Linked DNA regions of Notamacropus eugenii. Each later gene encodes a partner of the first gene's protein in a complex. Links are inferred from orthologs where the notes say so. Each region holds a gene or a part of one and is shown in the gene's direction. Other genes may lie near its edges.

Region 1 (8,370 bases):
ATATTTTGCAAGTTAAACTTGGGGGATGAAGAACCGTTCTGCACTATATGGTGCTTAACATAGGGTTTGGCTACCTTTGCCAGTGTAGAGCAGGGGTTGGACCTGTTTTTGTACCACTTAAATTTTAAAATTTAATTTAACCTTATTTACAAGGTTTATACAAAAACAGATGGTAAAGCCCTCCTTGTGGGTTATGGTTTGGTGATCCTAGTGTTGAGACATTTGCAGGGTATGGAATCTTGTATGAGACTGTGTGGAATCAAGGTGATATTCAAAACATTTCATTTAGAGGGGGTCCCTGCCGTTAGTGTGGTTCTGTAATGCATGAATGGGTGATTCAGTACATTATTGGACATCACTGAAACCTGCAACAGGTTATTAGTGATGCTTTTGGTAAAGACACTGGTATGGCCTAAGTATCTTGAGTATTCTTGAGAATGAATGATTTCTTTAGGAAGGAATGGAATAGGGACTCAGGTTGCTCAATTAATTGAGTTCAATTTTTAAAAAGTGCTTTCTGTATGCATAGCACTGTGTTTGTGTCAACAGATTGCCTCTGGGAAAAAATCACTACCGTCAAAATGTTGAACATCTCTATGTTGGGATGCAGGTTAAGACCAAAGAGACAAAATGAAGGAGATAATAGGTGGAGTGGGTTTTCTGATGTGAATATGAAGTATGCTGCTAGTGTCTCATTGTTAGAGCCACATTTCCACCCCCACGGCTACTTTGGTGGCCTTTCCCCTGCCCTGGAAGTTGCAGTGTCTGCAACCCTGACGTGATCTTTCCTCTTCAGGCCTTGATCAATCGAGGGGTGAATCTGGATCCCTTGGGTAAATGGTCAAAAACTGGACTGGTGGTGTATGACTCTTCTGTGCCCATTGGTGAGTAGCTTCTCCTGTTTCCCTGACCTTTTCCTACCCTTTCCTGCTTCTCTGTTTGTACAAGCATTTCCCTATTTCTAGAAAGGTACAAGGGACTTCTCTTCTCCCTCAGTGCCCTGGTCTTCTTCTAACTTGCATCGCAGATTTTTGTGTACATCTCTCACTCTTACACAAGGTTGTCAGCTCCTGTCTTTTCACGTGTAACCCCCGTGTTGTTTACATAGGTGCTTTATGTTTGTAGAATCCCACTGATGCAACCCTTCTCTACCTCTTTCTTGTCTTCTCAGGGGCTACTCCAGAGTACTTGGCGGGGCACTACATCCTTCAAGGCGCTTCCAGTATGCTGCCTGTCATTGCCTTGGCACCACAGGAACATGAGCGTATTTTGGATATGTGTTGTGCCCCTGGTGGCAAGACTAGCTATATAGGTAGGGAAGTGGCAGAACAGGGACATTTTCATTTAGCCTAGGAAGTGCACTTTGATTCAGTATTCTGTCTTTGGGGGTAAGGTGAGCCCATGGGTGCCTGGGACTAGTTTGCCAGCCAGAAAATATTTCAGTAAAAGTGAAAATCCAACCCACAGTGTTAATATTTATTTTACTATAGGGGTGGTAAGTGGGAACACAGTCATCTAAGATGTTGAGTTGAGAAATATTGGATGACTCTGTGTGGCGTTAAACAGCGAGATGCTAGGCTTTAACTTAGTGAGTTACTGCGTAGAGCTAGTAACAAGGTGAGCAGGGCAGGTAGTTGGTGTAGGGAGAGGGGTACAAACTGAAGGGTGATGGCCTTTCACCTACTACAGCCCAACTGATGAAGAACACAGGAGTGATCCTTGCCAATGATGCTAATGCTGATCGCCTCAAGAGTGTTGTCGGCAATCTGCACCGGTTGGGGGTCACCAACACAATCATCAGCCATGATGATGGACGTCATTTCCCTAAGGTTAGACTTAGAGCTGCCATTGTTTCTTGTCTTATATTTCCCAATCTCTTCACTACCACCACCACCCTCTCCCACTAGCACCTTTCCAGGCATCTATATTTAACTTTGGTAGTAAATACATCTTGTGTCTATAGGAGCTCAGGGTGTGAAGCCATTTTGAATAGGGAGAAGTTCCTTTGACCACCTCTTCATCTTCTTTCTGCCCAGGTAGTAGGAGGCTTTGATCGGGTGCTGCTTGATGCCCCGTGTAGTGGCACTGGTATCATCTCTAAGGACCCATCTGTGAAGACCAACAAGGTGATGAGGAGGAGGAAAAAGGGGCAGGGTAGACATTTTGGAGGGAGGAGGGTATCGGCCTGGAAGGGGAGGAATCTGGCATGGGAAATGTCATCTTAGGCATGGTAACTGATTTAGGGAGGATAGTCTGTTTAAACACTATAACTTTTTCTTCCTCCTATTTTCTGAAAAGGATGAGAAAGACATCAAGAGATGTGCCCATATCCAAAAGGAATTGCTCCTGAGTGCTATTGATTCTGTTAATGCTACTTCCAAAACTGGAGGCTACATTGTCTACTGCACTTGCTCCATTACGGTAAGGCTTCTGTTGGAGTGTGGGCAGAAGAGGAGGGGGATACTTATTTCTTGAGACTCTTTCAGCTAAGACTTTCTCCTATTCTTTCCTCTTATCCCTGATGTCATCTTACCCCTCAGGTAGAAGAAAATGAATTGGTGGTAGAGTATGCCCTGAAGAAGAGGAATGTGCGGCTGGTGCCAACGGGGCTGGACTTTGGCCAGGAGGGCTTTACCCATTTCAGAGAACATCGATTCCATCCCACCCTCCGATCTACCCGACGTTTCTATCCCCATACACACAATATGGATGGCTTCTTCATTGCCAAGTTCAAGAAGTTTTCCAATGCTATACCTCAGTCTAAGAAAAGTAAGAAATCTCTGTCTCTCATTTGTTCAAGTTCTCTCTGCCCACAGAGTTATGACCCATTTCCCTGTGTCTCTTACTAGGAAACCTCCCCTGTATGCATTCTACTCCCTGTCCTTTTTGATTGAAAAAATTCTTCTTGGTGTGCTTTATTCTTAATAATTTCTATAATAGTGCTTTAGGTGATAAAAGGTAGGGGTTTAAAGGTATCACCATTTTAGTCAGGAAACTAAGGCTCAAGAATGGTTAAATGTTTTCCTCACATTCATACAGCTAGAAAAGATTCAAAACTAGACCAGAAGATGTGTGGAGTTAAACAGTGAGATGCTAGGCTTTACCTTGGTGGATTACTGAGTAGAACTAGCATAGTCTGATCATCTAGAGCAGACTCCTAGATTAGTGCCTTTCAAGGTAGGAATCTCAAACAGAATGGAATTTTACTTCTCCCCCTTCCCAAACCAGATGGCTGTACTTGTCTTGTTTACATTGAATCACAAGAGTGAGATTTGTGTTTCCCTTCTCTTCTGGGTTGTCTTTTTTTTTTTTTTTACTGGATAAATGGGCACTTGTGGCTGACAGCTGTCTGCAGGAGGCAGGCCCATCTATTTTTGAGAATATCTAAATTCTGAAGAGATAAGGGCAAGACCTGAGATTTACATTGGTCAAGGGGAACTGTGGAATAAGGAAACTCCCTCTTCCATCTCTGCCTCTCGTGGTCCAAGAGAGTTGCCTAGTGAACTTTCTACGCCTTAAATCATGTTGTCTCTGATTTATTCATGATACTTTGAAATCATTATTTTCTTGAACATTTTGACAAGGAGGCCCAGCTCTCAGGAGGAAAGATAGTATCTTCAAAAGCCAGGTCATTGGTTTGAATACTGAGAAATGTCCCAGGAGGTCCAAAAACTTATGGGAGTTTATTTTTTTTTTTTTAGATCATTTTAGTCCCCTTTGCAAAAAGTCATTGCAGTACAGAAGGAAACATAAAGGAGGGTACAGATAGTACTATTTATGGTGGCTTAAGGGAATAGGTCTAAAATGTCATGCTTCAGTTACCTGCGTTGTTGACTCCTTTGTTGTACTTCGCTTCAAACTGGCCTATGTTGGTTTTTCCTACTTTATCAATCTAATGTCCTGTAACCATTTCACTCCAATCCAGGTGATGCAGCAGCTGACCCCCCAGACTCCAGACCCACTGACAGGCCTTCTGCAGCTAAAGCCAAGGTGGTGCCCCAACCTAAAATCAGTCCTAAGCTTGTCAAGAAGACCAAGCAAGCTGGAAAGACAAAGGTGAAGCTAGAGACCAAGAAGGGAAAAATGCATCGGGAAGCTGGGGAGGCAGAGGTGAAGCAACAGCAGCCGCCCCCTAAGAAGACTGTTTTTCAGAATGGGAAGCCTGTCCACAGGGGTCCTCGGCCACCTACTGCAAGGACTCCTAGTTCCAGCGGGCCCCCACCTAGGAAGAAGCAGAAATCTCAGTCCTGACACAGTAGCCACTGTGGGGTCTTGAACTACCAGACTGGTGTGACTGTGAGCTTCTTTGAGGAGCTTGGCCTCACCTCTGTCTGACGTAGACACAGTCCAATTAACCTTCCCCTGCCCCTTCCCCTTGTATACACATAAATGTACCCATCCCCACCTCTGGCTGCAGTGTGAGGCTCCTCATTGGTTTGGTTTGTGCGTTGTCCTGCCCGCGCCTTCGGGGGTGGGGTGGTGGGAGTGGCCGAGGTTGGGTGGTCACTTCACCTCCGGGGTGGTGGCGGGAGCTTTGTAAAGGAAAGCCCCCTCCTTAGGGACGGGGCGCTGCCCACGCCAGTGTCTGCGCTAGTCTGGCCGGTCTCCAGCTTTGCTCCTGGGCCTGGGCTTTCCCAGAGGCTGCCTCGGAGCGGCGCGGGGCTACCACAGACGGGCGCCGGGTGGCTTGGGCCGTGCGGGCCCCTGCACGCCAGCCTTGGCAAAAAAGCTCCCTCCCCACTAGCGGTCTGAGTCTGCTGCCCGCACTCGGGCCGGTCTCCTCCTCCGGTCGGCCTGACGCTCACTTGGGTTGCCCCGCCCGCCCTTTCATTGGCTCGCTCCGTGGCCCCGCCCCTATCCTGTCTTCTCATTGGCTCCCTGTCCGGGCCGGCTCCCCGCCCCGCGCCGGTCTCCATCTCGAGGCGGAGAAGCGGTGCGGCCATGAACCCGTTATTCGGCCCCAATCTTTTCCTCCTCCAGCAAGAGCAGCAGGGTCTGGCTGGGCCGCTCGGGGGACCCTCGCTGGGGGGCGGCGACTACCTGGGCGGGGGAGGGGAGCTGCCTGCGGGCCCTGCGGCGGCGGCGGCCCCCCCGGGCATCCCCCCGTGGGAGCCGCTGGCACTGGCCGGCCCGGGCCCGGCGCCCTCGCCGCCGCCCGCCGCCATGGCCCTCCGCAACGACCTGGGCTCTAACATCAACGTGCTCAAGACGCTCAACCTGCGCTTCCGCTGCTTCCTGGCCAAGGTGCACGAGCTGGAGCGGCGCAACCGGCTGCTGGAGAAGCAGCTGCAGCAGGCGCTGGAAGATGGGCCGCAGGGCCGGCGGGGTCCGGGGCGCCGCGACCAGGCCGTGCAGACCGGCTTCATCAGCCCCATCCGGCCCCCGGGGCTGCCCCTCGGGGCCTGGCCCGCCTCGCGAGGCCCGCTGGCGCCCACAGCTTCGGGTCTCTCGTCGTCTCCCGCCAGCGCGCTCGCCCCAGCCCCGGCGTCTGTCCCGTCCCACTCCGCGGCCACATCCACCCCCTACTCCTCGTCGGCCCGCTTCATGCCCGGCACCATCTGGTCCTTCTCGCACGCCCGCAGGCTCGGGCCGGGACTGGAGCCCACCTTGGTGCAGGGGCCTGGCCTGTCGTGGGTGCACCCCGACGGCGTGGGGGTGCAGATCGACACCATCACACCCGAGATCCGGGCCCTCTATAACGTACTGGCCAAGGTGAAGCGGGAGCGGGACGAGTACAAGCGGAGGTGAGGCTGGGGGAGGTGGGGCCGGGCCGACGGGTGGGCCCTGGGCTCGGGGCACCGCGGCATTGGCATTGAGGGGTTCCAACCAGAGGACTTTAGAGAAAACAATGAAAGTTTCGGGGTGAGGGTGGCGTGAGGGGAGTCCAGGGAGATGTGGACCAGGGAGAGGCAGCCAGGTCTCCCTCCCCCCAAAAGAAGAGATCTTTCCAGAATCCGGAGGACTCAGGGAGCAGCCCCAATTTCAGGAAGGTCGTACAGGGAAGAAAGTCATGTCAGGAGGGAAGTTATGTGTGAGAAGCTTAATTTTTTTCCTTGTCTTTACTTCCCCTCCCCTTCATGTTGCAGTGTTTAGAGGGTTACCCTAACTGGGATCTTAACTGGGTGTGACTAGGGAGATGAGCCAGGGAAATGTTTGTGTGGGGTTTTCTTTTTCCCCTTATCAGTCTTTTTGGTTATTCTTGTGAGCAACTTGGGGAAAAGTACTTTGTGTTCAGGGGACAAAAGTTAATGGCATAAGAGATCTGCCTTATCTTGCAGGCTATAAATGTTATCATTTGGGAAGGTGGATGTGGGGGGATGTGGATGTATTTCCCAAAGAGGGGTCTGAGGATACTGGGACACCTGCCAGCTGGGTTCCCATGTGGTAGGTCTACACGGCCAGAGGAAACTTTTAAACAAGGATCAACCAAGGATCAACCAAGGTGGGGTAAGTAATAGGGATTATAAGGAATATTCCCTCCTGAAAGAACAGATTTGTTATGGGGGAAATAGAGGCTTTGCCTGGAGAGAGACAAACATTGAAGCTGAAGAAAGGGCCAAGTTAGAAAAAGTTGGTAAGATTCCATGTGGACACACCCTATGAGCATAGAGAAATGAAGTCAGGGGTGGGAGTGTCAGATGAGGGTCATACAAGTTGGGAAGATGCCCATAGAACCCCATAACCTGATTCTCTCAAAAGAACAAAACCAGAAACCAGCAGAGGAGAAGGAAAGTAAATATGCTTAGTGCAGTGTATGGCTAAGAAGTGATGATAGTTTCAGCATTATATATCACTGGGGAAGAAAGAGATGTTGGTTGGGGGAAATTTTGTTATTTTAGGTTTCCACAGTGTTTTTACCACTAGTCGTTCCTCACATGCAGGTCAAGAATGGCCACTGTGTTGTTGTTTTTGACTTATCTCAAAGTTTAAGGTTTACAAAGAGCATTTCTGTATGGCAGGGCTTGTTGATGATTGGTGAAGTGATAGGTATGGATATCACTGAATATGTTCATGAATTTCTATTTGGGATGTGTATGACCTGAAGAAGAGCTAAGTCATAAATAGGATTTTCAGTTGGCCTGGAAAGGATCAGCTTTTTCATTGAACCCTCTTCTGCCGTTCCCCACCCTTTTGCAGATCTAGTTCTGACCTCCTATAAGGGAGGCCAGCATAGGGGAAAACCTATGCTGGATAAGTGTCCTTAGGAACTTATTCACTTTGAGATCCTAGTAAAATATAATTTAAGATTAGTATAATTGCAGTAAGTTATGGAAGAGGAGAAAAATTTTGGATGGGTCCATCCATAACCACAGGGACTATTGGTATTCTCTGGAAATGTGTGTGGGTTTGGCTTTTTTTTGAGGGTGGGAGAAGGTCCAGAGTGGTTTGTCCTTGGTCCAGATGTCTAAGGCAGCAAAGAGTTATTATCCCTTGGGGAAAGCTTCGCTCATAACACTGCAGTACCCTGACGTGCCCAGCATTGTTTGATATTTGACGTACATTCTTTTGTCCTAAACCTTCTGCCGTTTTTTGTCCTCTTTATATGAGACCTCAGAATGTTTCTCTAATTCAGGTCCCAGTCTGGGAGGCAGAGGATGCATACACGTTGAACTAATAGTTGAGGCCTCCTGGGTTCTATTTTCAGCTTTAGAATTGTGTGACCTGAGAAGGAGCTTTTCCTCTCTCTGAGCCTTAGTTGGGTTTTTTTTCCATTTTAAAATGGAGAAAATAATCCCTGCTCTTTTTTCAGCTCAGGGATCAGTAAAGCTCTCTCTGAACAGTGCTTTACACAGACCTCTTTAGAGGACAGGTGTTTAAAAAAAAAGAAGACAGGTGTTTAGAGGGAAATAGAAACTCATCACAGAGCCTAATTCTAAAACTCTACATAGGAACCCACATTGTAAATGAGAACGGGGTACACTGAAATTAATCAAAACAGTACAGGCCTTTAAAGTGCCTCTTGAGGAACAGTTGAACAAACTCCTGACACTGTGTGGCCACAGACAAGTCACTTTACCTTTCAGAATGTTAGTTTCCTTATCTAGTAACAGGGTACCAATAATACCAATAGTGTCTACTTCACGGGGTTGTGAAAGACTTGCCAAACCTTAAAGTTGCTCTACAAATGTAAGCTGCTTTTTTGATTCTTATCTCCAGACATCTCCAAAAGATGCTTCTACTACTGGTTGCTCAGGAGGGGAGCAATGTTCTGTGGTAGCAGTAATAATAGCACTTTAAGATTTGCATTGCACTTGAAAAATATTCTTTTCTTAGATGTATCAGCTTTGTGAACCAGCTGCTATCATTATTCCCTGTTTTTACAGATAAAGAAATAGAGGCCCAAAGACATTGAATGGCTTGTCCAGTGTT
Region 2 (8,524 bases), on another chromosome or scaffold:
AATGTCTATCAAGATGCAAATTAACCCACAGTATAAAGTCAAAGGGCTGTAGACTTAAAGTTGTATAAATCAGAATCTAATTCCTAATTTACAATAATTCAGACATATTAAAACATGATTGAGTCGTAAATGACTTTAATATTGGTTTTAGTGACAGGTCACAGGCAACATGCTGCATGTGTAACACACTATAGTAGGTACTGGGAGAAAAAACGGCCTGTGACAAAGCCATTACTGTTAAGCTTACAATGAGAAAGAATGAGGGCCTGCTTGTTAAGGTCTCTTTCCAGTTCTAAATCTATAATCCTACAAATTTTATTGTTTTAGTACAGTAAGAGCAGGAGAATAGCATCCTTGGCATTACTTTATGCTACAGACAAAGCGTTACAAAGTCAGTGGTAGTTCATTTGACGCTGCATATTTTGTTTAGTAACTGTAGAGTTAGTCTTTATTATAGCTACGTGTTGAACTATTAGAGATGGGGCCAACCTCAGATTTGCATTCAACACTTCTATGTGAAAAATAGTCAGAAGCTAAAATGTGGGTCATCAAGAGGCATAGCTGATGAATTCTCCAGATTTACTGGCACTGACCTATAACAGCTGCTACTTAAAGGGGCAGTTATATACTGTTATATACATCTCGATTCTCAGTGAGCGTGAAGGTGGAAAAAAGATAGGAAGAGGAGAAATATCTCTTTTGTAGGGCGTATTAAAAAAAGATGTTTTTGCAAATGCTGAGATAATTCAGGGTTTTGTTTTGGTTTTTTTTTTAAAGAAATACATAGAAGGACTATGAAGAATAGTCTGTAAAAGGATGGGCAGGGTTATAAATTCTTAAAAAAAAAAATCTAGTAAAATCCAGTGCTTCTTAACTCTGCTTTTCCAACAGTCCAGGATATCTCCAAATTATCTGGGAAATCAAAATATGTACACACACAGTACAGTGTAAAAAGATACAGTTTTGGAGTAAGGAGAGACTTGGATAAGAATTCTACCTCTGATACTTATTAACTGTATGACATTGAGCTTTATGAAATGACCCTTTTCTGCCCTGGGCCTTAAGATTCATCGCAAAATAAAATGAGGGGGTTAGTGGTACCTTAGGTCATCCCCTTCACTTTTAAATTTATGGTCCTATAAACCTCTCTGTACCTCAGCTCTGTCATCTGTAAAGTGAGGAAAATAATTACAGTTATTTCTTCATCTGAGGAAGACCTATGAAAAGTCTTCAGGTGCTATATAACGGTCACTGAACCCTTGAGAACAGGGATCCTCTTTATATCCCTAGAACAGAGAAAGAAAATGGGGATCTTTAAATAAAATCAAATGATTGCACAATGTCAACCCAAATTGGGAATCACGGCTTTGGATCATACTGTTTCTCAAAATGTGGCCTGAAGGAATTAGCTATGTTGGCACATGGTCTAGTCAGTCAATTAATCACTAAGTAAGTTATTATGAACCTCTTATGTGCTCAACACTGTGGCAGACAATGGGAAATCAAAACCAAAATTCAAAAGTCCCTGTCCTCCAGGAACTTACATTCTAACATTATTAACAATTTTTAGTTTTGGTCTGAATACTTTTACTTAGACTTTTTAATCACACTAATCAAAAGCAACAAAGGTTATTAATTCTGGTGAAGTTTTTATTGTTGTGGCAAATGCATTAGCTGTATGTGGCTTCTTAAGGCTTAGTTAAAGAGTTTTAAGCTCCTTTAAGCCTATGGCTATGTTTATATTAGAACTGCCAAATACATAAAACTTTCTTTTCCTCTACATTAATGTACTTCTGTCTTCTTATTAAGTGGGTGTGTCCTCTGCTATAACATAAACTTTTGTAGCTGAGACTCTCAGAAAAGAAATTCAACTTCACAGGATGTAGTATTCCATTTTTGATTCATTTCTAGAATTAAGCTCTTTTTTGAACTATTTCCTAAACTCATAACATTAATTATCTCTAGGTTACCTAAGGAATGTGTCTGGGTTAAACTCAAGAAGATGCCTAGACACTGATTCAGTCTTGAGGAATGACTACATGAGCCCATTTGGAAGCCTCCTTATTTGAACCTCTCCAAATGCACTCCTACCTAATTTGGACAATCCCATGCTAATGGAAAAAAAAAATAAAGACTAACAGCTTGACTGAGGTTTCCATTATCTACCTGGATCTTACTACTATATTTTTTTATATGACAGCAAAAAAAAAAAAAATCACTAAGGCAAAATTATATTTTAACTGTAATCACATATTTTTATTAAGCACATGGATCTTAAAAGTTGACAAGCAGAGAAGCAGCCTTATTTGGTTTAAGTAACATCAAATTTAGATATAATTTACGTAATTCTTTCAGATTATGACACTAAACTAATGTAAATAGAAGTACAATCTTTACCCACTATGAAAAGAGCCAAAAGACAAAACTTCTACTTGCATATGAATGTGGAATTAAAGAGTAATTGTTTCCTAGTTAAAAAAGTATATATATATATATTTGTAAGAAAATGAGTTAATAGAGGACTTCAAGATAAGATAGTATGAAAGGTTGCAGGAGGAGTCCAGCTCTTCCACATATATTCCAGCAATGATGTAAAAAAAGGCAGCAGACTAAATGATGACATAAAAATTCAAAAAGAAACATCGGTAACCTCCTTCATCCAGTCTAAGACTGTACAAAAAGATAGTGGGATGTATGACTAAGAAAAACAGCATGAATTCAGATGAAAAGGCCTGAAACTTGGGGCACAGAAGGTCTGACGCGACTGGAACAAAAAAGATCTAAAATTTAAAGGGATATAATGAAAAAAAATGGAAAGGAAGAAGCTTAACTGTACTAGGTCATCAAGACGATTTGGTAATGGCTAAAAACAACAAAAGTTGATCAGTGGGACAGACAGGAACACAAGACAAAAACAATCATAATAGTTTACTGTTTAATAAACCCAAAGATTTCAACTCCTAAAGTGAGGATGCATTCACTATCTGACAAAAATTGCTGGGAAAATTGGAAAGCAGTCTGGCAGAAATTAGGTTGAAAACAATATATTACACCAAACAATACATTAAACTCCAATTAGTTATAAGACCTAGAAATACAAAGTCATATCATAAGCAAATTGGGGCAAATGGAAGAAAATTCCATTCACAAACATGGAAAAGGAGAAGAGTTCTTGACTCAATGAAGGACAGAGAGGATCACATGTAATAAAATGGACATTTCTGATTTCACAGAATTAAAGTCTTTGTACAAAATTAATGCAGCAAAAATTAAGAGGGAAAGAATGCAAAAAAATTGCCAGATATTTCTCTGACAAAGGTGTAATATTCAAGATATACAAAGAATTGATTCTAGTATACAACAACAAAATACATTTCCAAACTGACATATTGTTAAAGGATATGAAAAGGCAAAACAATAAAATCAAGTTATTAATTAACTATATAAAATATTCGAAATAATTAGAGAAAAGCAAATTAAAATAATTCTGAGGTGCCACCTCATAAAAATCAGACTGACAAATAATGAGAAAACAGGGAAATGACACAGTTGAGGAGCCAGGGAAGGATAGGAAAACTAACACACTGCTGACTATGAATTGCTTGAACAATTCTAAAAGGCAGATTAAAATCACTCAAGCCACTAAAACTGGAACTCTAATACTAAACAAAATATATACAAAATATTCCTAGCAATGCTTCATTGTGGCAAAAAATGGAAACTAAGTTCCTGTAAACTGTGAAATGGTTGAACAATTATGCTATATGTAACTGAACATTCCACGTTCTGAAGAAATGATGAAAGGGATGGATTCAGAGAAACCTGAGAAAGCTATTATGAACTGACACAGAGCACAGTGAGCACTAGGTCAATTTATACAATGACCATTACACCACTGTAAGCAAAATAGCTTTTGAAGCATTTATTAACTCTCTTCAATTCAATACCCATCTACCATACGACTCCACAAGGCAGATTTCCCATCTCTTCACAGAACTGACTAGAAGTGCATATTCAGGGATGGTCAATGTGTGGATTTCTTTTTACCTGATTATGCTAACTTGTTATATAACAAGATATTTGTTTGTTTGCTCCGTGGGGGAGAGAATGAGAATGGTAATAGCAATGTCAAAAAATACAAGAGCACAAGAGAAGCACTGAAAGAAAATGCAAAGAGGTTCAGAGAAACACCGACAAGCAAAGCAGCTTTGGAACATGCTGAATTAAAGAAAAACAAACAAGTGATTCATAACGATATTCAAAGCTTCATATACAATTCTATTTCTTTCTTAAGCTGTGTCAAGTTTAGAATTGCAATTTTTTAAAAAAAAGTCAACCACTAGACAACTTCCCAGAGCTACCTTTAAATCTGTTAGAGGATCAAGTTTATTTATCATCACAGAGAATCTTAACCTACAATAGTGTATCTAGCAATGTAAAATCTGGGTAGAAAAAAATAGTCAGGACTCACTATTTAGCTATTAAACTGGAAATGCTGAACTTCTACCCAAGGTACGGTACTGGCTGGAGTCAGGACAACTTTTCAGGTTACAAGGATTGAAGCCTTCTTTTGTAAATATGTTGGCTTTAAAAAACAAACAAAGATTTCATTGGCTGAACAGGGAATTAATTTCTAGTAAGGAAACTCCCTCTGCCAATCTAGAGCAGTACCAGCTATGTAATTTACGGTATTTTTCAGTTCCTTTGGAGACACCGGGGGTCACACATCCAGTGGGAGTCAGAGATGGGGCAAATACACAGCAAAATCTTTTGGTGTTTAATCTAACTGACAAATACTACGTATAAGAAGCTTCATATGAGATCCTCCCACCACTCAAATACTTGTTATGCCTTCATCGGTTCAAGATTTATTTTGACGTCACTTCCAGATGAGGCGTCCCCTAAGGAGGCTTCACCTTTTACGTAAGCAGGTTTGGGGGGCAGGCAGGCAAGGTCACTTCAGTGACGGACACCTTGGGGGTGCACCACTGCCTGTGGGGGGATGGTACAAACAAATAGCTCTTTCAGCCCGCGCTGGGGCCTGAAAAGTCTTCCCTAGACGGTGCCCGGGTGAGGACGGGAAAGGAAAACCGGCAGAGAAAACCCGGGAGCCTAAAGCCCCGAAGACAAACCGCGCCACGATCGGGCCTCTCCCACCGGGCCGGGGACGCTCTCAGCGGCTATTTTTAAAGGCCTCCGCGGGCGGGGGGCATCTCTGGGCAGCGCCGGGCCCCGCGCTCCGCCGGCGCTCTGGGACGCCGGTAGCCGGGCGCGGGGGGCTTCTCCTCGTCCTTCTCCTCCCCGCCCCCCTCCCCGTCTCTCGGCCCTCTCTTTTCTACCCTTTCCAGAAACCCTTCGTTCGGGGGTTCGGGGAGGGGCACCTCGCTGCCTCCCCTCGCGGGTCTCCCCGTCTGCGCACCGGAGCCCGCCCCGGGTCCCGTCACCCCCGTGCCTCGGGGCCACCCCCTGCCCACCGCCCGCACCAAGTCAGCCCCGAGCGCCGGGTCTTACCATAGTGAGACCTCCGCTACCCCCAGCCACATCACCCTTCCGGGGCAACGGGCGGAAGAGGCGTTGGGCCCCGCCCCCTCCGTCTGGCCTCGTTCCCCACGCTTCCCGATGATTGGTCCGAGGTAGGAAAGCGCTTCACGCGCTGCGAGGCTGCGGCGGCGCGGTTGGTCGAGAATGGAGGGGAGGGGCCGCTCGGGTAGTGACGCCATGGGAGAAGGGCCCTTCTGATTGGCCGCGGCTCTTTCTGCCTCGGGAGCGGGCCTTTTGGAGGAAGCCGGAAGTGGAGGCTCTGAACGAGGTAGGGCCCGGAAGCGGGGGTGTCCCAGCGAGCCTGGTCTTTGCTGATCGCCGTCGGGTTTGGACTCCCGGGGGCTGCCCCAGTTTATTTCCCCAGTCCCTCCAGCTCCTTCTCGAGCTGGCTTCCCATTCTTCGCTGCCCCTCCCTCTGCTTCGGAAAGCGTCAGCAGCCCCAGTCTTCTCCGGGCCTGGGCAGAGTCCTTTCCCCTTATTCCCCTGGGCTGGCCTCATTCTTCCCTCCGGGCTTCGGAATCCAGGCCGGGGGGAGGGGGGCGGAATTAGAGAGTTTAAGGAGAGATTTAATTGGTTGAGATCCCGGTCAGGTGTGGGCGAATCGTAGGGCAGAGGAATTAAGCAATTTTTTAAGCACTTACTGTAGGCCCGTCGTTGTGGCTAAGACCCGAGATACGTAGAAACCACCCCCAAGTTCTGTGGTTCTTGCCCTGAAATAGCTCCAAGGCGCGTGTAGAAACAATATATCCATGACTACAATGTATCCATGACTAGCTACATTTAAGAGCTCTGCGGCGTGCGTGGAGAGAAATCCCAGAGGCTTGGGGCTGATGGCCCCAGGGAATGGAGATCCTGCAGAACGTTTGAGCTGCAGGACAATCTAGGGATCTAGGTGAGAAAGGAGAATATTTCCAGCGTGGGGACCGCTCGGGTGGAGACACTGAGATGGAAGGTAGGGTGTTCTGTGGGAGGAACCCCAAGAAAGCCAGCATGGCTGGATCATTCAGTTCCGGGACGGTAGTGAAGTAAAGCAGAAAAGAACCGACATATGAATTGCTTTGGTTGCCAAACAGAAGACTTTATTCGATCCTACGGGTAATAGGAAGTCGAGAGAAGGGGGTGACAAATAATGTAGAAGAAGAAATGACAGGGTTTGGCAGTGGGGTGGGGACATGATTGAGAGGGATAAAGTCTAGAATGGCTTTGAGCTTGCAAACTTGAGGGACTAGGAAGCTGGTAGTGTCCTCAACAGTTATAAGGAATTTCAGAAGATGTGGATTTTAGGGGGAAAGATAACTTAGTTTTAGATACGTTGAGTTTGAGACGCCTTTAGCACATCCAGTTCAAAATGTGGAAGTGGAGCTATGGAGATAACTGAGGGCTGTATATATAGATCTGGGAATTATCTGCAAGGCTGAAAATTGAATCCATGGATGCTGATGAAGATCAACAAGTGAGATTGTATAGAGAGCTCAGGACAGAGATGTGAGGGATACCCACATTTAGTAGAAGTAAGGGACGGAAATCCAGCAAAGGAGATTGAAGAGTGAAGGAAGGAGAAGAAACAGGAGAGAGCAAGGTATGAAAACTTAGGAGAGTATGAAAAAGAAGGAAGTTACCAACAGTGTCACATGTGGTAGAGAGGTCAAGAAGGATGAAAACAGGAAAGATTAGATTTGGCAATTAAGAAATCATTGGCAACTGGAGAAAAGTTTTACTTGAATGATGTATTTGGAAGCCAGATTGCAGTGGGTTTAGAAGAGAGTGAGAATTACTTGTTCAGTGCTATGTTAACCAAACTGCCAAAAAATAATAGAGCTAGAAAAAATAATAATTCATTTGGAAGAACAAAAGGTGAAGAATATCAAGGGAATTAATGAAAAAAATGCAAAGGAAGGTGGCCTAGCCCTACCAGATATCACACCATATTATAAAGCGGTAATTATCAAAACATTTTGGTACTGGCTAAGAAATAAGAGTGGTGGATCAGTGGAACAGATTAGGTACACAGTACTATAGTAATCTAGTGTTTGATAAACCCAAGGAACTAAGCTTTTGGGGCAAGAGCTCACTATTTGACAAAAAACTGCTGGGAAAATTGAAAAGTGGTAAGGCAGAAACTAAGGATACACCAACATCTTGTATCTTTTACTAAGATAAGGTCAAAATGAGTACATGATATAGACGTAAAGAGTGTTGCCATAAACAAATTAGGAGATGAAAGAATAGTTTATCACTTCTAAGAAAAAGGGAAGAATTTATGTCCAAACATGGTAGAGAGCATTATGAGATGTAAAATGGATAATTTTGATTAGATTAAAAATATTTCTTTTGCACAAACAAAATCAGTGCAACCAAAATTAAAAGGAGTGCAGAATGATGGAAAAAAAATTTTATAGCAAGTGTATCTGATAAAGGCCTGATTTCTTCAATGTATAAAAAACTGAGTCAAAACATGTCATTCCCCAACTGATAAATGATCAAAGGATAAGAACAAGAATTTTTCAGATGAAGAAATCAGTTATCTATAGTCATATGAAAAAAGATGCTCTAAATCACTATAAATTAGAGAAATGCAAATCATAACAGCTCTGAGGTACCATCTCATATATATCGGACTGACTAACATGATAGAAAAATTATGATAAGTGTTGAAGGGAAAACCGGGACACTAATGCATTGGTGGAATTGTGAACTGATCTGCCTGTTCTGGAGAGCAATTGGGAAGTATGCCCAAAGGGCAATCAAATTGTGTATTCTCTTTGATCCAGCAATATCACTATGAAGCCTGTATCCCAAAGAGATTTAAAGAAAAGGGGTGTGGGGGGAGAAGGACTTATCTGTACAAATATTTATAGCAGCTCTTTTTGTGGTATCACAGAATTGGAGATTGAGAGGATGCCCATTAATTGGGGGTAGCTGAACAAGTTGTGGTATATAAATATAATAGAATATTATTGTGTTATAAGAAATAACAAACTAG

Evidence for each region.
Region 2: the proteins of non-homologous end joining factor IFFO1-like (region 1) and XRCC4 are in contact, whole or in part, in a crystal structure (PDB 6ABO), measured with the Homo sapiens proteins. The link is inferred for Notamacropus eugenii from reciprocal best matches to the Homo sapiens genes IFFO1 and XRCC4. Residues at the interface, in NP_001317253.1 of Homo sapiens: Arg469, Glu470, Tyr473, Ile477, Gln479, Ile480, Glu481, Glu483, Leu484, Ala487, Lys488, Asp490, Met491, Arg493, His494, Leu495, Tyr498, Met501, Lys505, Leu508, Asp509, Met512, Cys515, Arg516, Leu518, Ile519, Thr520, Gln521; in NP_001304941.1 of Homo sapiens: Trp155, Val158, Gln159, Phe162, Glu163, Cys165, Val166, Lys169, Glu170, Glu173, Leu176, Tyr177, Phe180, Val183, Leu184, Lys187, Lys188, Lys190, Ile191, Leu194, His195, Lys197, Leu198, Ala201, Ala202, Arg205, Glu212.

The regions. Positions count from the first base shown.
Region 1 is NC_092874.1:194,838,059-194,846,428, reverse strand, and holds the start of non-homologous end joining factor IFFO1-like, read left to right. Parts: upstream 1-4,913; 5' UTR 4,914-4,941; coding exon 4,942-5,744; intron 5,745-8,370. Other genes in the region: NOP2 (28S rRNA (cytosine(4447)-C(5))-methyltransferase), read left to right, coding at 797-884, 1,172-1,312, 1,690-1,829, 2,037-2,126, 2,299-2,421, 2,541-2,769, 3,926-4,251. UniProt on the Homo sapiens protein: Nuclear matrix protein involved in the immobilization of broken DNA ends and the suppression of chromosome translocation during DNA double-strand breaks (DSBs).
Region 2 is NC_092875.1:460,069,270-460,077,793, reverse strand, and holds the start of XRCC4 (DNA repair protein XRCC4), read left to right. Parts: upstream 1-4,790; 5' UTR 4,791-4,923; intron 4,924-5,511; coding exon of another isoform or gene 5,512-5,514; exon of another isoform or gene 5,515-5,809; intron 5,810-6,032; exon of another isoform or gene 6,033-6,493; intron 6,494-8,524. Other genes in the region: TMEM167A (protein kish-A), read right to left, coding at 5,512-5,514.